Oreochromis niloticus: one gene and its partners. The protein of the gene in region 3 interacts with the protein of the main gene of each other region in a biochemical or structural test. Links are inferred from orthologs where the notes say so. Each region holds a gene or a part of one and is shown on either strand. Other genes may lie near its edges.

Region 1 (7,252 bases), on a different chromosome or scaffold from region 3:
TTTCTTCTTAAGAATGTACCAGATTGTTGATTTGGCCACTTTTAAAAGTTTTACTCTCTCTCTAATGCTTTTATCTGGGTTTTTAAACCTAATTATAGCCTCCCTCACTTGCGCCAAAATCTCTATGGACCTGATATTGAGAGTTTGAATGAAAGGCTATCAAAGCTAAGATCAATGCCTGAAATCAACTCGAGATTCTTCACCTGCTTAGTTTGTCGTGGAATAATCAGAGAACAGGCCTCACCTGACCATGAAGCTATTTATCAATTTTCCAATTGTTTTGATCTTATGAAAATGGGGGAATATGAATAAAAATGGCTGTCATTTCTAAACAGGTAATGCACATTTTTCATTAAGCCCTTTAAATTAAAGCTGTAAGTCTACACTTATATCACATATTGATAGTTTGATTTAAAATCCACTGAAATGATGTAGAGACACAAAAAAAAGGACCTAGCTGCATTTTTGGGTGAAGCTTCCTTAAACCACTTGGAACAGTTAACACCCGTTCAGGCCAGACGGCATAGGACAATGAGCATAATTATATGTTTGAACCACACGACTCTACTGCCGGGGCCAGTTTACTTTTTTTGGTGATAAAACTTTTTTAAGATTCCATTTTTTTCAACACATCTTTGACAAATGTGTGGACAGGGCCTGTGTTGATCCTTCAGGAACACAGCTCAGAGTCAAACTGAATTCACTGTGGAGGTCAAACTCTAAAGAAAACATTTACTCGTGAGAACAGAATAAATAACAAAAGGTACTTGGAGCGCATTGTTGTACCAGCTCTGTTTGGAGTCGCTCGTTCTCCTCCTTCGCTTCCTGCAGTTGTTCGTTCAACTTTGCTAATCTCTGGTCAGCAGCCTCCCGGAGGCTTTTCTCCTCATCGTAACGGGACTTCAAATCTGTTGGATTCAGTAATGGAAAAAATAAAAACAAACAAAATTTTTTTATCAGATTTATCCGAGAAAATACTCATTCCTTGAGGCTGGGTTGAAAAAAAAAAAATCTGAATAAAGACAAATGGATTTGTAAAAGAAAAATAAATAAATAATGATGTAGACCCACAGACACAGGCCTCCCAGTTGTCCGGCCGAACACTAACCTACTATCTCTGTGGCCAGCTGGGCAGCCTTCTGCTCAAACAGGTCTTTCATCTGTTTGATGTTGAACTTCTCTGTCTCAGCTTCATTCAGCTTCCTTTCAAGTACTGAAAAACAGCATGACATATTAGCGACTGATGATCTGCTGTCTAGTTGCATGTGCACTTTAAGGGTCCTGTGATGGCTGCACTTACAGCCACACAGTGGTAATATCCACCATGTTAGTGTAGAGGCTTATAAGTAACATTGCATTCACATTTGTCTTTCTTTAAATATAGGAATTAATTTAAAGGACAATAAATAACTGGTTTTGGTTTACAATTAATTCACATATCCACATAACACTGCATTCTAAAATAAGTGCGCACATTTTAGTTTACACTGTTATGTATGATTAATCTTTTGTTTTCTGAGTTACCTTAGTTGCAGCTGTTCCAGTCCCTTGATTAAGGAGCCAAGAGGTGGAAAAGGGGCGGAGCGAGCTTTAAAGGAAAACTGCAAATTGGTTCATGCCATAACTCGGGACCATGGGGGGGGGATTGGAGTTCATTATGTTTGGTTTTGTGTGTTTTACCCCTTCTCGTGTTTTTTGTGGGCTGATCAGCTACTATTTAAGTTTCCCCTTTGTCTCGTTAAGTTAGGTCAGTTTGTTTGAGTTATCAGTAGTGTTGTCAATTTTGAGTAGAGTTCTGTTATTTTGACCTCTTTTATGGGCCCAAGATTTTGATTCTTTTTGCATGATTTAACCAATTATGTTTTTTGGGTTAAATAAAAAATCATTTCTTTGGACTTTAACTTGTGCCTAAGTCTCTTTCACTGCTCGGTCCATCACAGGTCCCCTACCTGAATCATCTGCGCTCATCTGCCCATCGTTCTGCGGACGTGAGGGAATGAGAGAAACACTCATTAGCATCATGTTTTATATTCACAAAGTCACCTCTTCATTAAAACATGTTTGTTTGTTTTTTAATCTTGAAGCATTTACCTGCTTCAGGTGTCCTTGGACTTTGTCTAACTCTTTTTTTAGCTCCCCAGAGAACCATCTTTCCTCCTAACCATGAAAAACACACTCATAAGTCAAGTTTGCAGAATCATTTACACCGCTCGCTAACAGGTACTGTTTAAACGCAGCTATACCTTGAGAGAAGCGTGCAGGTCCTGGACCTCCTGCCGCAGCATTGTGAGGTCTTCCCTAATAGAGAAAAAAATACCATGTTGATTAAAAAAAAAACAAGTAAATTAAACACTGCCACAAACATACTGAGGTCAGTCTCTACGCTTTGATCATAAATGCTAATACCCGTCTCACCTAGTGGGGGCCACGTGAGCAGGGAGCTCTCCGGTATCATGGAACAGCTCATAGTGCTTGAACAGCTCCTCTGCAGAGTTGTGAGACTTCATGCACTGAGGACAGATGAAGCCCTGCACACAGAAGCATGTCATCATTGAAATCTGCTTCAGTTAAAAAAAAACATATGACAGCAAAAACTAAAAAAACTTAAGTAGAAGTTCTCAGTTAAAAGCAAAGTGCATCCACATTACCTCAGATGTCTGATCGTGGTTAAGGTCGGTGCTGGGCTGCTCTGACTCTGCATTCTGGGACCCTCCCTTCCCGGGAGTCTGGTGAACAGTTAATAAGTCTTTTATGTTGAAGCTCAATACCTCAATGTGACAAAATTAAAAGTCCAAAACTTATAACAATGTGATCTATTGAAATCACATTGTTATAAGTATTAACAACACCATTTGTTTTAAGATTTAAAATATAACTGAGGTGACTCGTGTTTCTCTTCATCTGTAATATTTATAGTAGTTAATAATCTCTAACAAAGGCACATATCTGTCTATGTAAAGTCTTACATATTAAAGAACCTAAAGTCACATTTACCCATACATTCAATCCGTGAGTTCTTCTATGCACCTCTAAGCAAATTATCTTCATCACTTCCACAGCCAAGCTAACATTCATGTCTTTTGACTGTAGGAGGAACATGCAAACTCCACATAGAAAGGTCCCAGCCAACCAGGAGATTCAAACCCTGAATCTTCTTACTGTGTAACAGTGCTAACCAATGCATAACCTGACCATGTGGAACTAGGATTGTGTTAAGGCACTGATCTGGAGCTTCGACACTTCTTCAAGGGAAGATTTTTAGAACCCCAAGAGTCATTCTAGCCCTAACTGCTAAGGCCAAAGTAAGCTATCGGGCACCTGGGCTTCATGATAAAGAGGCAAGACAGAAGCCTTTCTAGCAAGAAACACGTGAAAGCTGCCTGGAGAAAGAAATTACCTCGACTGTGAGAAACAACATCTAACTAACCAAGAAGGAACTATTTGATCTCAATGCTAAGTGTCATGTCAGGAGCACACTTTGTAATCTGGCTAGGAAATATTTTTTACATTTCCCCATGACTGATTTTCCCTGTACAGTCCCTATCAGTGCTTCCAGCATTTCACATGTATGACGCTGTGGTGCTGGTGTGGTTATGCTTCAGTCACAGATTCGGTTTTAAAAGCAGCAATGATTTACCTAGACTACCTGCCTTTCCTGTGTTATTGCATATCAATAACTATTTGACATATGTGTTTACAAATTTTCTGTGACTTCATGAAATGTGCAAGGCTTTAGCCCACTGGCCTGAAAAACAAACACATTAGCTAGGTGTTCCGCAGGTTTTCCATTCACAAAAAGGATTTATTGGTGCAGGTGACATGAATGAAAGAAGTCAAAATTAGTGTTTGTGCAAGTTGGGCATTCAGCAAAGACTGACCCAAGCTTGTTTAAAGGCTGACAAAACACTTAAGGGTTGGGTTGCATTACGGAGCAACCTTTGACCCTAGTTCAATAAACAGTGTTAGTGTGTGTGTGTGTGTGTGTGTGTGTGTGTGTGTGTGTGTTATGTAATATTACTAGCCTCAAAAATATATACATACATTAAAAAATACACAAAATTTAATTATACTACTGGCCTTCTTCAATAATAGCAACTGCATTACCAGTGGAATTATTATTATTATACATTGTTTTGAAATGGACTGGAAATACAATATCTGTCATCTTAGTACACTTTTAAACTGCTGTTAAAACCTGTTGAAATCTCCTAAAGGTCAGGGGTGGTGTTGCAACTGTGACATGACAAAGTTATAAAATGAACTGCAATCAGTATCTTGTAGCCTGATAAGAATTTGAACCTATAAAATTACCTGAGTGTCTAATCACTCTGTAAATAAGGTGGTTCAAAAGCAACTTCTCTTATATAAAAAGGGGTGAGATGTGAACTGTCTTCTCTAAACAGAGTATGTCTCCCTTTAGTCCTATTAACCCATAATAATAGCCACAAGGTGGTGACGGTTACAAAGCTGCTACTTCTTATTTTGGCTGCTCCCTTTAGTACTTGCCATTGGGGATCATCTACCTTCATCTTACCCTAGCCATACTATCCCCCTCTGTTGCACCAACCCTCTGCATGTACTCAACATATCCAAACTATATCAGCCTTTTCTCTCTAACTTTGTCTCCAAACCACTCAACCTGGAGACCTGCAGGTTGAGTGGCCTTTTTGTCAGTCCCACTGTCTCTTATTACCATCTTATAATAGGACTTTTCAGTCTTCCTGCCATGCTTCTGTCCCAAATCAGCCCTGACACTTATCTCCACCCTGCCTGCACTTTTCTTCACCTCTCTGTTCGAGGTCTCCGGGTATGTTTAACCTCTTCTGCCTTAACAACTTCCCGTCCTTGCAGCTTCGCTGTTAATGATTACAAGGCTACAGATAATGTGTAAAAACACAAAACAACACAGTACTAAGTGCTTTAAAAATGGACCGACCTAAATAAAAACGGAATGGGTAAAGATTTTTTTTAAATCGTGATCTAACCAATGTATACAAACTAACGCGAGGAGCGATGCCTTGTGGTAAATGTAGTCTTCTAAGAAGCTAGCCAAGTAGCTGACCTCTGCTCATTACTCTCACAATTAACTTTAAAGACAAGCAGCCAGTTTAATTAACCCTGCCAGCATGAACAGTTTGGGTGTTTACTTGGTTAAAACACGTGTTTCTACGTTGTGGTCAGCCAGATGACAACACTTCCCAACACTAGTAGGTAGCTAACGTCACTGTTAGCATGTGACGAGAAGACGATGAATTAACCTACTCCTGTAACATAGCTAGCTAACGGAAAGTACGAATAGAAACTGTGTCAGTGACCAAATATATCAGCTTTTAAAGCTCTCCCATAATGGAATAAGGCTTGAGAGGTATAAAATCTAAGTATATTATAATCCACAGACTAGTTTCATTCCTGTCCACTTTAGCATGCTCGTTTTATCCAAGTTAGCATTTGATGGTTAGCTGTGTCAGCCCAACGCAAGGAGCGCTCGATGTATTCACTCCGACCTGCAGGAACTTCAGCCTACCAGTTCTCACTAGCTAAACGTAAACCCCGCCCATCAGCGATACGTTCGGTATCAAAACATTCGTCTCCACCACGAAACCAGACATAGACAGGCCTGTGTCTTCTGAGGAAAACGTCTCCAGTTGACTAAACAAAAATCGATCCTGATAATTGCTTTGTCCCCCGGATAGCTTACCATTTGCAGTATCCGTCTGAGCATAGCCTCGATTGTGTTTTGTCCCGTCAAGAAATCCTGTCAGTTTTCAAAATGCCAAGTTTACGTCTGTGAACGGCGAACACCTGACCGGACTCGGGGAACAGCAGCGACGGATGGGCGGGTCATGGAGAGGATGGCTCAGCACCAGGAGGATACACAACCTGGTGAAATTCAGGATTACACACAAGAGCCGTCATGCTCTGGAGCACTCAATAAAAATCTGTCACAATAGTAATTATCTTTAAACGGTGTTTATTTAAATATTTTCCACACAATAGAATATCCCAGTCACACATGGACGATGAGGAAAGATGTTAGATGGGCTTTCCTGCCAATGGTACCCTAGGAAGTTAAATTATGACCTTATTTGAGCTTCCCCCCCCAGGAGTTAAAGGACCATGCACAATACAACGCTTTGAAGTAGGCACCATCAAAAATAATCACATAAAGAAACAGATTTCCACGATCTACAGTTTATTTCTCCAAAAACAAACGACTCTCAGTTTGATTTTTAACTGTGCACGTTTGGGGGTTTGCTTCAGTTTCCCCCCCCCCTTCTTTGCATACTTAATTTAATTTTCCATTTCTATGCTTTGTGCTTGTGGTTGGACTGTACCATTGCCACCAGAGGGAGTAGTCTACAGCCTGGTATTAATGGTATAGTCCAAACACTAAGCCCAAACTAATCACAGGGAGAAAAAAGATGAAAAACTTACTTTTAAAAAAATATATAAATATATGATTATGTTCTGAAGCAAAAGCCTAAATGTGGACAATTAAAAAGCAACAAATAAAAACAATAATATTGACTTGTGAAGAAACTGGATTAAAGTTTAAAGCAAAGCATCAAATAGAATCAGATGACCATAATTCCTGTCATACTTTTCGGTCCATGTTTCCCAGCGGAACATAAATTCAGTCACTGTGCACCCTCGGTCGTAAAAGCAAACCCACATTTTTCTTCTGTCCTATGGAGCCCAGCTTCCAAAAACTGGGTTGTTTTGACAGCATGTATAAGGCTTGATTTGTTCTGTTCATTTACTTTGTGTTTGTGAAGGCACTTAATGGGAGACTTTGTGCAGGATTTGTCAGAGTCTTCTAAGGCATTTCTGCAGATACACTATATAAAACATTTGCTTAATACACTAGATTATAGTTTTTCTGAGGATATGTGCCATTTCTTGTTTGATTCAGTTCACTATATAGAAGTTTTTCTCTAATTTACTCAGTTTTCACTCACATTGAGAGCATTCAAATATATACACACATGATTTAAGGCTTGTTCAGTGTCACTAGTGCTTAGAGATGATACTGTGTGCGCTGAGGAAGTAATAACAATGCCGTCCACACTTGTTGCAGACTTTACCTCATCTCTTTTAGCAAAATTCCTCACAAACTTCCCAAGGTAGCAGTTTGTAAAGTCCATCGACAGACTTGCAGCTACTCTTTTTCAAACATCTTGCAGAGGCACATTGTTTGGCACTGAGTCACTGTGGGAATAAGGCTTCCTCCAGGAGCCAACACTTCCCCATA
Region 2 (7,615 bases), on a different chromosome or scaffold from region 3:
GACAGTGGTGCCGTCTGTTACGTATGTTGAACTTGTTTCCGCAGTCGGGACAAAACGGTACGTCTGAATCATTCACCCATGACACTACAGACTTCTCAATGGCTACAAAGAGGGATAAATTCTTATTATTTAAAATATTATATAAAGCACAGTTACATATGTAAAGAATATTCAGAATTATAATGAAAACTAACCTCTGATCTTAGCAGCATCTGAGTTGGCTCTGTCAAATGATGTCAGCTAAAACATCATAGTTTATGGTAAATGAGTTGCAAATTTATAAAAAAAAAAAAAAAATTGTCTAAATGAGGTAATGTAAGCAAACCTTTTCCAGTCTAATGATGAGCTTGTTGACCTCAATGACATAATGATCTATCCTGGCTGCCCGGTGCTTTTTAAACAAGTCCAGATGACTTCTAGTTACTCCTAAAAAGCAAAAGAAAAATATATTTCTTTAGTGTCTTGCATTAACAAATATTGTTGGTTAGCAGTGCTACAGATGACAGTTTTTGCAGTCTCACCCAATTCCTGAGGCTCCCACATGTATGGGTCCACTCCACCATAGTAGAAGGACTCATAACTGCCAGTATCCGGTCTGTCGTCCCCATCCCTCTTCAGCAGTTTATCTTTGGCTTTCTTTGCTTTCTGAACCAAACCTGAAAACAGTGAGACAATATCATGAAAATTGAAACAGTGTGTGAATGTATCCTGAATCTGTTATTCTTATGCTGATCCAGAGTTAATATTTATAATGACCACATTTTCAGTTTATTCATCCATCTTTCAACATGCGATTGTTGTAATCATGTTTTTCTATTTTCAAGTTCATTACAGTACTATTAATATGCAAATGTAGCCAACCTGCACATGCATCCTTCCAGCCTTTTCCTAATTCAATCATAATCCTATTATGTAGAAAGTTGCAGCAGCCAACACAGACTGCAAATTCAGCCTGACAGCAATTTCCTACAATCCAGTACAGCAGTATTCTTATACTCAACTGCACTGTTTAAAGGCGACCAATTATACTTCCTCTTTTATATGTAAATTGTGTGTACATATATATATATATATCCCCTACAAGCCACAAGATCAGACTGTAGACATTTTTTTCTACTCTTGGCTCTGTATGATGTAAATGAGAAGTACTTAATATGTTCATCTGCAGCACACAGCTCCTGTAGTGACCATATAAGACTCATCCACACTCTTAGGGGAAACTAAGCTTAAATTCTTCACTTCTAAAGGATAAACTTCAAGCTGACACAAGACCCAGTATAAGATAAACAAGAATACATTTAACTTGTGACTAGTCACACTAGCAGGGTCCACAAATAAAAATACTAAACTAAAAATGAATAATAATAGGTTTCCTTTCAAAAGCCCTTTTTTTTCCCAGACTAGACAGTACAATGTACGATTTTTGTGTCTTTAGAACACAACAGGAGTAAATTAGCCCTGTAGCAAAGAGTAAAACACAGAATCTGCTACTAACTTTTTAGCTGTCCCCGAACATGGCGGTCATCTCCAGAGTGCTCCTCTTCATAGTGGTCTTGGAGTTGGTAGAATGACTGAAGGTCCTTTAGGCACAGTGGGCAAAGAAAACCCTCCTTTACTTCACCTGTGCCCTCAAAGGGGGGCGGGTAGCTGGAGGCCATGACAACAAGCGTCAGTGCTGCTGCAGAGGGGATGCAAAGTGGCACGTTCTCACTTTGGGCCACATCTCATGGGGTGTGCAACCTACCCCACAGTAGCTCCATAATGCCTGAGAAAATCCCAGGACACTGAGGAATGAGAAAAGTACACTGAGGCCACATACAATACTGAACAAAAGACTTGAGCCACCCATCATTTATTTATATTTTGCAATGTAAAAACGTAGTTTGTACAATTCTAACAAGCTTGTAAGTCAATATTTGCTATGACCAATACAGGTCATAGCAATACAGGATGAACTCTCTTAGGCAAACGTTCTTTTAATTTTTTCGGTCATCTTCGGGAATTGTTCTCCACGCCTCTTGAAAGAAATTCAAGGCTCTTCTTTGTATGTTGGCTGTCTTTTGTTCTATTCTCTGTCAAAATTACCCCACACTGCTTCAATAATGTTTATGTCCAAGTTCTTCAGAGGCAAATCCATGATTGACAGTGTGTTTTTCTATCCAGGTATGCTTTTACTGCATTAGAGGTGTGTGTTTGGGATCACTGTCATCTCGAAAAATGAAGCCACTGCCAATCACACGCTTTCCAGATTCTATTGCATGGTGGCTCAGAATCTGGTGATGCTTTTTTGAGTTCATGATTCATTCCATTTTGCCAACGTCCCCAACACAGCTGGCTGAAATGCAGCCCATAATCATGGTTGTAGACGCTATTATACCTCTCCGTGGGACTCCTCCATATAAAATAATGATTTGATTCAGAACCAAAACCGCTACTCTGAGAAGAGAGAATGTTTGTATGCTTGAATGATCCATAAGTGTTAACTCAATTTTAAGCTGCTTAAAAAACAAAAATACATTCCTCTGAGAATGGTCAGGTACAAGGACTGGACTGAAAATTAATTTTAAAAAGCATTAAAAGATCTTCAGAAAGCGTGTAGGACCATTGCTCAAGACCACTTAAAAAATACATTAAAGTCCGGCTCATTGGATGAAAAATATAAAGGAATGAAGTGTGGCGCAATACTTACACACAGTATTGAACATCTAAAAAAATTAATACATTAATTAATACATAAATTTAAGGTAACAATATTGATTAGAATACTATTATGCACATTCAGATAAATTACTATTCCAACTGCATTATAATAGCTAAACTTAGCTTAAGTCGACCCACGTATTTAGCGGAAAAAAAACGCTTAACCGGACGGGAAGTATTAGGTTCCCTAGCTGCATACGAGAGGTGTTTCACTAAGTGATAGCTGGATACGAGCCATGAAAGGACTTACCTTTATTGTTTATTATTTAGGCTAACTTTGGGCGCCGTTATACCACACAGAGGATGTGGTGTTAGCAGGAGAAAGCTAGCAGCTGCTCTCGCCTTCTTTAGCAATCGTTTCTCCCCTCTCGCTGTTCAAAAACGCTACATTAACAAACTTCCAACTGCACAAAAGCAAACAAATACCTACTGACTATTGGACGCGATAAAAAATCTGCACTTAGCCTACAATTGAGCCTGACAGTAGCTGTGTTATTGACAGTTTGCGTTTTCACTGACAGAAGCACAACAGCGCCAGCAGCCCTGCCTGGTCATGTGACTGACATCCAGTCGGTATGGAAGGAGAGGAGGGACAAAACTTGATTTTGCGGTTGGCGCTCCATCAGGAAACTTCTCCGCAATGTAAGTACATATTTGTTATATCCAACTTTTGGTTGTTTGTCTTTTGTGCAAACCTGCACTGCTACCGTAAATAAACCGTTTTTTAACTCTAACAACAGTTTGTTATTCCCGATGGAGGGGGTTGGGAAAAATTCAAGGCTGGATAACTAAGGGTGTGTTTTTTTGTGGTTGGGATGTGTGGTTGGGTTTGGCCAGCTTCATTAACTGCAACTAAGAGCCTTAAGGTAAATCCAGCTGTATTATGTAACCCTAGAACCTTCATTTGATCCAGTTTCAGTTTGTATAAGCTATAGGTCCCTAGTTTTATCCTACAGCCTTTTTTCACTCGTTTAAAACACAGTTTAAAGGCTACTTGGACTGTGCACTTAGCTGACTGGCATTTATTGACAAGAGGGTACAAAGCAATCCACGGAGAATAGGTGAATAGTATGGACTCCCATCTCAGTTTCGACCTGTCTCATGGGCTTCACAAAATGATATACTGTGCAAATATTAATTTTTGATTTTCTTTTTCAAGAGAATATTATTTAATATTCTTTTCAAGCATTTATTTCTTTTTTAATGAAATAATAATTTATTTAGTTAAATTACTCATTATCACTGTTGGCACCAAGAGCACAGCCTGTCCTGGTGGCTCACAAGCTGTTTTATTGGAAAGGCTCATAAACAAAAAATGATGCAATCACTAATACAACAGAATCTCTAAAATGTGTTTCAGCGCGTGTATGTCCTACACAACCAAAAGAAAGTCCAAAGCCACACTTTCTTTTCTGGTGCTCTAAAATAGCCTTTGTGTGAATTGTTCATCTATATATATATATATATATATCGCTCATTATATAATAAACACTTTGCCAGTCCACTGACACTTGGCTATTCCGCTAGAGTTGTGAGTGTGTGCGCTCAATTCGGCGAAACATCTCCAATATTAGGTCTCCATCGTTAACTCACATGCTTCATGAATAATTTGCATATTGATCAGGCTGGTGGACAGCTGCTCCCAAGGCTCTGATGGAATGAGCCCAATTAAGCTGGGGAGTGGATATCTGACACACTCTGCCTGTTATTAAACTGCATAAATCATTCTCTAAGAGGCTTAGGCAGGGTGACTACTTTGGACTACATACTAATTAGGCTTGTGTTGAATCAACAGTTTAATGGTGCACCATGAGGCATTGCATTTACTGGAACTAAAGCAAACCATACGTTTTTACCAATGCGTTTATTGTCCAACAAAAACATTGGTGGTTGACTTTAAGGCAAGGGCAGCTTTTAATTTACAACATTAGCTTCAAATTACGTAAACCATGCAGTAATGTAGAAAAATAAGCAGTGACACAATTTATTTGCTGTGATATTCATTATATTTTACATGAGTAGAAAATAATGAAACGCAAATCGAACAGAGGAGGGAGCTTTTATGTGTAAACATAGACACTTTAATTTGATCTTAATACAAGCTGAACTGACGAGCGCCTGTTGCCTCACAGAGGCAACATCGCTAAAACCATCTGACTAATGTTTTAATCATCTGCCTCAATGTAAGAATCAATAATCTCGTCAACTGAATGAATGCTATTAATAACGATAGCTATTAAAAGATCAACATATGGCACAAACTCTTCTGAAAGAAAAAAAACGTCTGTACAGCTATATAGTTATTCCAAAGTTTGGATGGCAATTACGCATGAGCTCTCCAAGAAAATGTCAGACAAATGGCTTGCGGTAATGATGTCTCAAATGTCTTCAAAAGAACAAGCGGTGGCACAAAAGGTTTAATGATCTTTTTTTCATTTTTTATAATTCATTGTGGTCATTTAATTTATACATTTATTTGTTTACAATACAGCGAAATACGCACTCCTGTCTAATCTACTCTCCATCCACTAAATCCTCATCCGGTGCAAACCTTTTACCCGGGTGTTGTCTCTTCTCCTCGGCGTGGCCCTTGTTAACGTTGTCTAAAAAGTCGAGCAGCAGGCTGGTCTTGCTGCAGCTCGCAGGGTCCAAAACGTCACACGGACTGTTTGTGCCTAAATCCGCACTCGAGTTATCCCAAAACCGTTTCCCAGGGTGCTGACGCTTTTCCATCTCAGCGAGGTCTTCTTCTCCATCCGCGTCCGCATCCCAGTCCCTGTCGCCGTCCTCATCCTCTAGAAGACGCTTACCTGGGTGCTGGCGTTTGCTGTGCAGCACCAGGTAACGCTTGCCTGGGTGTTGCCGTTTTGAAAGTTCACTGAGCAGGAGGATGGGGTTGTCAGAACTGTGACCCGCCGTGGAGCGCTTTCCCGGGTGCTGCCTTTTCTGCGGCTCTAGGAAAGAGTGCGTTTCATCTTCGCGCTTGCCCGGGTGCTGTCTCTTTTGAACATCAAAGTACTGTTCATCCTCGTCCTCTTCTCTCCTTCCTGGATGCTGCCGCTTCTCCAAATCATCACTATATCTCTTACCAGGGTGCTGTCGTTTTGTCACCCATTCTGGCTGAGAGTAATACCCGTCTGGAAGAAAACAAGAGAGGAAAGTAGCTCTTAAATGTTTCAGAAGTCACTGATTAAATCCCGGTTTCTCTCTACCGCGTGCGCAGATAGTCGAAATCCTGTTTCTTTGATTTTTTTTTTTTTTTTAATTATAAAGGAGACATATTCTCTTGCATTCCCGATGTTAACTGTTTATCAATTACTTAAACAAAAATGTTGCTCCAAGTGATTTAACCTGAAAAGTGCGCACGAAACTGTAAACTACTGAGAATGTGATGCAACTTTCAGGTACATCTAAGATATACCCGAAGTATCAGTATCGTATGAAATAAGATTTTATGACAAGTTTCTTAACTCAGAAAATAATTTTTTAACATGTGTTTTACGCACCATTTCTTCCGTCTTCATCCTGCAGCTTTTTGAGAATGGACCGTAACAGAAGAGTCTCTGCTCTCTCTAAAATAATGTCGTCTATGGTCTTTCGGTCAGTCTCATCCTCAGCAGACATGCTCTGCCCTCCAGACACCATCAAGTTGCAGACCGTTAGAGATGCAAGGATAAGCAGACATGTCGACTTCATGGTAATTTAGTTTTTCGTCTGAAACAGATCACGTTAGATAGGAAATATTAAAGAAAAACAATATTAACGTGGGTGAACTGGTTTGTTGTCTACTTTGCACCACTGTATTTAAGTCAATGTTGGGACCAGACGTTTCGTTTTTGAATAGAAATGAGACTTTTTTAAAAGTACAATTTTTATTTTTATTTTTTATCTTGAGAAATCCAGTTTTAGCAAAGCTGCTAACCAAGCCTTTGAGGCTTTGAGATCGCAGCAGCTTTTGAAGATTGGTTTTACAAAGAAATCTAAGAGAACTCTAAAGACTCACCAAATAAATATGAATAAAACATGATGCATGAGATCTATCCAGATCAGTTAAAGAACAACCCTTAACCAGCAGACATATTTACATTTCCAATGAGAGTAGTCTAAAAGCCTCACCTGGTAAAATATTGTCCTTTCCCCAGTTTCTGGCACTATCGGCAGTGATAATAGTTGCTTTCAGTCGCTCGCAGCAGTTGGTGACCTTAAAGGCCAAGTCTAGAGGTATGAGCAGATAACTTTCCGTCCCGGCATTTATACGATACGGTCACTGTCGTCACACCAACACTGGAGTAATTTTTCAGGATCCCTCGTCCCTATTGATGTCACCAAGTCGTGCGCAACTGGATATGGTGAATGGTCGGCCAATAGGAGCTTCTGCTCAATATATATATATATATATATATATGTATATATATATGTGTGTGTGTGTGTGTGTGTGTGTGTGTGTGTGTGAGTGTGTTCAGTGAAATGTAAACAAAAACAACAATAACAGCAAAAAACAAACAATGACAGAGACTAACAGAAGGTAGGATTTGTGTGAGATTTATGTGATGAATATATGAAAATAAAATAACTTTATTTTTAAAATTTGCGAAATTCAGTTGAGTGTAATGCACTAGTTTATAATATATATACGTCTCTGTGTGTATTCCGTGCTTTTTTCATTTTATTTTAGTATGTACTGTTTTTACTGCTACTCTTAGATGATTACAAAAATGGTCAGTATCTTATCATAAAATGTGGACATCTCCTATGGTGTGCCAACGAGGGCTGTAGCGAGATGTGGGCTATTCATGCTTTTCTTAAATACCCTTAGGTCATGGGGCTCAGGAGGGTGGGCTCACCCCATCTGGTTCTTCTGAGCACATACTGTATAGCCTAATGCGGTTTCTGGTCACGAAGCAGCAGCGCTGAA
Region 3 (7,347 bases):
TATACGCGACACTTTACATGTTCAGTTTACAATGTGAGTGTAATGCTTTGTTCATTTTCACCTCCATACCTTTAGGGAGTAACACGGTTTCAGCTGACACCCAGGCAGTCTCAGGTATGTCTGCCTCATTAGGATGATTAATTTAGCCTTGACATGCTTGATACAGGCGTCAGCTAAATCTGTCTTAGCTTAAAGGATTAGTCAGCCTTGCATTGCATTTGAAAACTTAGAACTCTTGATAAATGTCATGTAGATATGAAAACACTTAAAATGCCTTTTTTTATAGCTGAGATAACAATGCTCCAGTTGCTGCTAGGTAACAGAGAGAAATGAAGCAAACAGCATACACTATATATGGTTTCTACACTCTAGTCATCAAGAAAAAACACTAAGCTTAATTAAAACTATCCTACAAGAGAAGTATTTCTGACACTATCAAGATCACTAGACTAAGAATTTTTGTAGCAAACAAATCTATTACCCAACCAAAAAGCATGCACAAATCTTTGCAATCAGCTTCATTGAGTTTTCCATCTGTTTTCTCCTCAGTTTATGGATCATAAACTACCCTATATCATTCAGGGAGCTGATGCAAAACACACAGACAACGTAAATTACTCTCAGCACCGGAGACTGCCTTTACTACAGAGTATGGGCAGCCCTGTCCATCAACCCTGCCTCAGCACGTTGCTAGGCGAGGAGCTCCGGCACATCAGCGCACTGCAGCTCTGCCGATTGCCTGCTCAGGGAAGCAGGGGTTGTAGTCCTTCCCCACAACCTTTTTTCAGTGAGGAGCTCTCTCCATCTCCTTTACCCAGTCTTACCAGTGACCTAGACTTGAACCATCGGCCTGCCAAACTCATGCCATCTGGTTCTTGTATTAGTCCTCTGAACCTCAGTCCCAGGTGACCTATTCATTCTCCTTTGGTCAAATATCAATAATCTGTTTGCATATATTTAAATGAATATAACACCCATTTGTCTTACTGTCAGGGTCGTGGATGGAATTGAGGATAATGATCACACATTTCAGTTTAATATGGAACAGAGCGAGGCAAAGACTAATGTTGCAGGTAAAGTGTCTGAAAACTGCATGATTAATGAGAAATTGTAAATATAAGCCTTTCTATTAAGGACTAGACATTAAATATAACCCAAAGTCGGGACAGATTAGATGAGTTTCTCACTTTTTAAAAAATAATCCTCTTTCAGATCGGTTACACGTCTGTAACCTGCTTCTTGAGACAGAAGAAATGAGACAGAGCGTCAGCAAACTGAGCAAAGAGGTATGTTCCCTTATTAGGCAAAAGCGCTGCTCCTTGAAATATGCCCAAATGTGTTTTGTGAGGACACAGTAACCTTTACCTTTGAACAAGAAAATCTAATCAGTTACAGCTTGAATTCATATCAACTTAACATGATAACAGTTACTAATAAACAGTTAACAGTTTTGAATAAAAAGTCAATTTTTCTCACTCTTTCAGGTAATTAACTTAAACCAAGATGTTTCCAACCTTGCCAAGGAACTCCATGACATAATGCATTTTCTGCATTCTCATATGACAATGCTCCACAATAACTCTCCAGCTTCCACATGTTCATGTGGCACTCAGGTGCTCCCCAACCCAAGTGTGACAACGTGTAGCCACTGGCAACCGGATGTCCCTTTAAATATCTCCACTGGGTTACCAACTGTTCATGAAATGATTAGCCATCCTGCTAGAAATACATGGCACTCCAGTGGAATACCCTCCCAGTGCACAAGTTCCGCCTTGCTGTACTCGTCAAGCACAATGCCATCCTGTTCACACCTGGGCTGCTCTGACAGAGACACAACTCAAAGGCTTCAGTGCTTCTCTAGCCCTTTCCAAACACCCAGAACATCTCCAGGCTCTCCCTACATGACCTTCTCTCATGCCCATGGAGGTCCATCCCTCCTGGGCATCAGTTCTGCCTTCAGTGGCTACCCATTAAGTTGTCAGGCCTCACACATGGTTAGTAGTGCACAAATCCACACAATAAGCAGCACCCACTCCTTATGTTCTACGGTAAACTGTGGCTACTCCCAGCCACCCCTAAGTGTTCAAACCAACTCGGATTCTTTACATAATCAGACCAAATCCCAGACACCTATCCATTTATCCACCACTCCTTCAGCCCAACCACAGTATCACACTGCCTTCAGCTCTTTGACGCCATCAAGAGCCCACACTTTGATATACACAGGATACGAGGACCAGCGAGGTACTGTCGAAGGCTCCAGACAGAATGATCCAGTAGGATCCAGTCCTGTCCACCAAACACAGGACCTGGCAAGTTCTCTGATGGAGCAAGTACCAAACATGGACTGCAAAGCTTCACTGTATAAAGAGAGGACAGAGACCATGGAGTCTCATTCCACAGGGGACAGCATTCTTGATATGAAAGAAAGGCCACACTGATGACATCCCTATCTGGTTATGCTATCAGTGAGTAAATAACAAAGCTGATGTAATGTTTAGAGTACCTTACCAAGAAATCTGGTGTGAAGTTTGAAATTAATAAATTGTTATTTAGCCAAATTCTCAATCAACTATTGGAATCCAACTGCCACTACAGAATAAACCTTTTTTTCCACTGATGGTTCTTGTGTTTTTATCTGGCATTAATAATGTTTGTGAATTCTGGTTGAGATTAAGGCATGGTCTGCATATATCATAGCTGAAGCAATCTTATTTTCAAGCCATACACTCTCACTCAAGCATTCAATGCAAAATTGTTTGACTAGTTATTCATTTTATTTGTTTATTTATTTTTTTCTATCAAGTGAATTGTCACTGCTGTATTCATCCACAAAATGTTTCCAGGGTTGACTTAGAAGCCACAAGTGGATGGGCAGCACCCCTGAGTGGTGATATGTCGTTACTACAACAAACACAAGACTGACATTTCGTCACACTGAGCTCAAAATAACTGATCTGAGTCAGATATGGCCTTTTGGAGCCACAACCAAGCTTTTGACCTGTAGAATGATGTAAAATATTCCTGAAACATGTTAATCATATTTGACCAATCTTGGTCCAACCAACCTGGCATATAGCAATGACATTTTCTACAGACTGCTGAAAAACCTTGATATTGTTATTCATTGGTAGTATCATGGCAGATATATTTATGTCCATGTGACTCTTTAGCATTTAACAACAATTCTGAAATTAATAATATACTGAGGGGCATCATGTAAGATTTTGTGTCATTAGTCCAAGCAAAGAAGGCCATTCTTTCACTATTAATTAATCTTTTGTTTTGAACATGTAAAGATGCAAGAAGAGATAGTGAAAGTTGGTGAGTTTAACAATGAACAGTGCCCATTAGTGGTGAAGAAAAATGAGTAGGCAGGTTAGAGTGGGTGGAAATGAGTGACAGGTGATTTGTGACAGAAGGATAGCAACAAAAGTGAAAGGAAACATTTACAAGATGTTAGTGTTTGGAGATGGTGGCACTTACAAAAAGGCATGAGGTTGAGCTGGGGGTGGCAGAACTGAAGATGCAAAGATATTCATTGGGTTGTAACCAGGATGGACAAAATTAGAAATGAGTATATCAGAAGGACAGCTTAGATTAAGTGGCTTGGATACAAAGTTAAAGAGGCAAGGATGTTTTGGACATATATAGAAGAGGATAGTGGATATACTGGGCAAACACTGAGCTGCCAGGCAGGAGGAGAAAATGAAGCCCACAGGAGAAGATTCATGTAGTGAAGAAAGATATGCAGAGGATTAGTGTGACAGAGGAGGATGCTAGGGATAGGGTGATGTGGCGGCAGATGATGTGGCGACCCCTAAATGAAGAAGCCAAAGGAAGATGAAAATCATACATACAGTTCGACATTGGAGACATCACAAGGATCATTAAAAATATTAGTAAAAATTTAAAAAGGATCCTTCTTTATGAAAGCAGCTTCCAAGCTTATCCCAAGCTTATTAAAAATATTACGCTAAACAAAATTTGTTACAAATTTTCACGCCATTTGAAAAGCACAAGTTTTATTGTCAGTGTACATAATTTTCATAAACACCATATCATTATATTATAATTATATTCAAATTAACATCATTTAAGATGTTATTTATGACTAGATATTATAAAACCTTGATAAAAATGCCGTGCTGCGGACTGGAGGGTCTAGCGTAACCCGCTGTCCTCATTGGTCAGAAAGCCACTGACAAAAAGTGGGAGGTTCCCGGAAAAATTGCTAACCGGAAGGGAAGGCCGGAGCCCAAGAAGAAGAAGAAGAAGACAGCTGCTGCCGATGAGACCAGCGAAGGAAGAAAAAGTAATGTAAGTAAAACAACTTGAAATTAAGAGTCATGTTGGTGAAGAGCAATACTGAACGTGTGTTGGATTATTTTGTCGACAAACTGTTTACTATAGTTTGATCTATTTTGTTATTATTATTTTTTTCTGCTTAGCATATCAGCCAAGTCCGGGCTCAACCGAAATGCCTTATCAGAGTGGATCGAGGGGAGCTACGAGCTGCCCTGTGGGACAAACATTCTAAATATTGAAAAAAATATTAATGCCACGGCAGAGCCCTGAGGTTGCTTAGAAAAATATGACATCGTTTCATGCCAGCAAGTGGACGCAATAAGAAGTCCCGGAGTTTCTCAAACGTCAGACGGCTGACGACACAGGGCCGAGAAAAGGAAAGTTGTCTAATGACGCTTTCGACTTTTGGCCATAGCTGCTAACACAGCTAATGCTATCAGAAGTCAAGTTTCCTTGCCAAGAACATAGCCTTTGTTTTCTTTGTCAGTTTAGGCTAGCAAATGGGTGCTATTGCCAAGTAAGCAACAAGGTTGATTCTTTCACGTTGTGTAGTCAGCGTTAATTTTGTTAGCCAAGTGCTTAGTGGAACTCACAAGTTACAGTTGTGTCGTCTACGTTAATGATAGCGGTTCCTTATCGCACCTAAATGTAACGTACCGTTTTAGCCAAGACAGGTGCATTGTTGTTTGATAGTTATTTTATCGATTGTTTTGAAGCAAGCCTTACCTTTACAGTTTAAGTTGCCTTATCATTGTGCTTAACCCGGCGTCGACCGAGCAAAACTTCTCACTTACTTTGAAATATTAGTTGTAGATTAACTAACTTAATATGTTACGTTCCTGCCACCGGTTAAGTGTTTAATAACTGGTTTTATGTGCGAGGTCTAGGCTCAGTCGAGGCACATCACAGTCGTCTTATGTTCTCTAAATTAGATGTACTATCAAGGCAGCTGTAATCTCTTTTCACAATCTTGTGCTTTTTATTATCAGTTGCATTTGTGCATCACATAGTGTGACAGAGTAAATGTGCGTACATAGTCTCTTGCTTACCTCTGAAGTTGTATTTATGGCAGTGCCTTCTCATCATTAAAATGTCATTACTGCTGACTTTGTGGTGTAACATCCGCATATTGCATCGTTGGGGTTGTTATGTGCCTGCACGTGTGTCTTCTTGCATTTAACAGCAAATACTTTTTTTGTATGCTGTGTATCTTCACAGTGTATGTTTATGGCTTAATAAGGGGAACGGAGCTTGGCCTTTGAGACAAAGATGTGATTTACAGTTGCTTGCCTGAGCTCTCATGTTTATGGCATGTGGACCTTGTCCTTCTTAAACAGCCACTCTTTTTGACAACCCAGCCCTAAAATAAAGGAGGACTGCAAATTAGTTGAACACTAGTATGGATAACATTTGGGTGCTATGTTTTGGCATTGCCTTTAAAGTTGTAAGTTGTTGTAGTTAAACGGACAGCTGGATCTACTAAGTGTCACTCAATCAACTAGACTCCATTTTTGAGTAAATCTGTGTAAAGGATCAAATATCAAATCCCATTATTTAACAATTCACTTAAAATCATTTGAAGTCATAAAGGGGACAAAGTCTGTTTTAAACAATTTGATGAGATAAAAGGTCTCAGTTTGGGATCCATCTGACCATCCATACAGATATGATTGTATTTTTCATTTCAGTTAGATTTTAAGAGAGCTTTCTTTTTTCTTATTGCTATAATTTTGGTAGGTAAAGATCTGACCTCTGGCTAATGCTGATTTTAGGCTTAGTGACTAAGGTTTTCACTCATTCATCACAATAGGGGGGGAAAGTGCCAGTGATGCTCGTGATGAGTGTGGTGTTTGCTTTTCCTGTATTGTGTCCACACATTCCCATCTAAAATCACAATGCCAAAGCTATTCTTTGTTTTTAACCCCCCCAAACTGTAAAAGAACCTATCTTGGATTCAGAGCATTTCCTGTTTCTTTCGAGTTCCCAAGTATGGCGCTGCTTTTCAATCTTTGTTTACAACCTAGGACAAACTATTACCTTTGGCGGCAATAGATAGGCCTTTAATATATGCTCATGTGTCCATGCAAATTTGGACACAGCCATCTGTACAAGCAGATGAGATTATAATCAAAAGACAAAAGTATGGTCATGCAGCCCCTCATCAGATACCATTTTTGCACGACCCCACCCTTCAAATAAAGTGAACTGCACATGTCTCTGCTTGCCTTCTTAATTACAGTGTTTTGGTGGCAGGTTGTTAATCTAGTTTATAAATTGAATGTGAAAGTGATTTTCTTTTATTAAAATCTAGTCTGAAGATCATACTGTCCAAGCAAACCAAAATTTATTAATTACAAAATGTCATTTTTAATTGTGTGACCAGGAATGGAGGATTAATCCTGTTATTTTCCTTCTGCAAATATGGTCTTCTGAGAAATGGTGTTAGGGTGTTAGGTGACACCTTGTTTTCTGCATAAGAAGAGCCTCGATGATGCACTAGTACAACAATACAAAATCTTCAAATCTAGCAGTCACAAAAACACTTGTAAACTGGTCATAGCAGCTGGTAACCTGATCTTTCTGCTTAATTTTTCAGTATAACTAATGTTTAACGATACCTAGAGTTTGTTCACGGAGCAAAAGCAATTAAAAAAATGTTTTCATTACTTCTTTGACTGTTTAAACGTATTTCATTTGTGCATGCATTCTCCAATTTAGATTGCAATAAACCGCAATCACTAAGTTCTTGGATATTATGCCAGCAGCAGAACATACAAGGGGGCCACAATAAATATTTCACAGCCTCTCCCTCTCGTCTGTTGCTTTTTCCTGCCTTTTCTCCTCCCCCTCTGACCTATGTCCCACTGTCTCTCGTTCCCTGACCCACTTCCCTGTGGAGGTTTGCAGTACCCATTAGGGATGCCATCACAGCATCCGTCAGATGCTGCTTAAGATGTGCGAAGGTCTCTATCAGTGTAACAAGGAGTCTCTGATTGCAAGCCTGTCAGCTGCTTCCAGCTCTGATGTTACTGTTGTGGC

What was found.
Region 1: the proteins of rab5c (region 3) and eea1 form a complex in vitro, tested with the Homo sapiens proteins (2 studies listed by BioGRID and IntAct, with this or other methods). The link is inferred for Oreochromis niloticus from reciprocal best matches to the Homo sapiens genes RAB5C and EEA1.
Region 2: the proteins of rab5c (region 3) and rbsn form a complex in vitro, tested with the Homo sapiens proteins (2 studies listed by BioGRID and IntAct, with this or other methods). The link is inferred for Oreochromis niloticus from reciprocal best matches to the Homo sapiens genes RAB5C and RBSN.

Annotation. Positions count from the first base shown.
Region 1 is NC_031972.2:57,279,256-57,286,507, forward strand, and holds the start of eea1 (early endosome antigen 1), read right to left. Parts: upstream 3,091-7,252; 5' UTR 3,076-3,090; coding exon 2,995-3,075; intron 2,727-2,994; coding exon 2,649-2,726; intron 2,529-2,648; coding exon 2,416-2,528; intron 2,299-2,415; coding exon 2,244-2,298; intron 2,158-2,243; coding exon 2,092-2,157; intron 1,981-2,091; coding exon 1,950-1,980; intron 1,924-1,949; exon of another isoform or gene 1,525-1,923; intron 1,214-1,524; coding exon 1,109-1,213; intron 909-1,108; coding exon 787-908; intron 1-786. UniProt on the Homo sapiens protein: Binds phospholipid vesicles containing phosphatidylinositol 3-phosphate and participates in endosomal trafficking.
Region 2 is NC_031984.2:14,555,160-14,562,774, reverse strand, and holds the start of rbsn (rabenosyn-5), read right to left. Parts: upstream 3,091-7,615; 5' UTR 2,951-3,090; intron 1,785-2,950; 5' UTR 1,659-1,784; coding exon 1,496-1,658; intron 657-1,495; coding exon 522-656; intron 427-521; coding exon 326-426; intron 241-325; coding exon 195-240; intron 103-194; coding exon 1-102. Other genes in the region: trh (pro-thyrotropin-releasing hormone), read right to left, coding at 5,215-5,837, 6,207-6,396. UniProt on the Homo sapiens protein: Rab4/Rab5 effector protein acting in early endocytic membrane fusion and membrane trafficking of recycling endosomes. Required for endosome fusion either homotypically or with clathrin coated vesicles.
Region 3 is NC_031969.2:26,577,473-26,584,819, forward strand, and holds the start of rab5c (ras-related protein Rab-5C), read left to right. Parts: upstream 1-4,180; 5' UTR 4,181-4,320; intron 4,321-7,347. Other genes in the region: kcnh4a (potassium voltage-gated channel subfamily H member 4a), read left to right, coding at 76-114, 550-905, 994-1,073, 1,213-1,286, 1,485-2,441. UniProt on the Homo sapiens protein: The small GTPases Rab are key regulators of intracellular membrane trafficking, from the formation of transport vesicles to their fusion with membranes.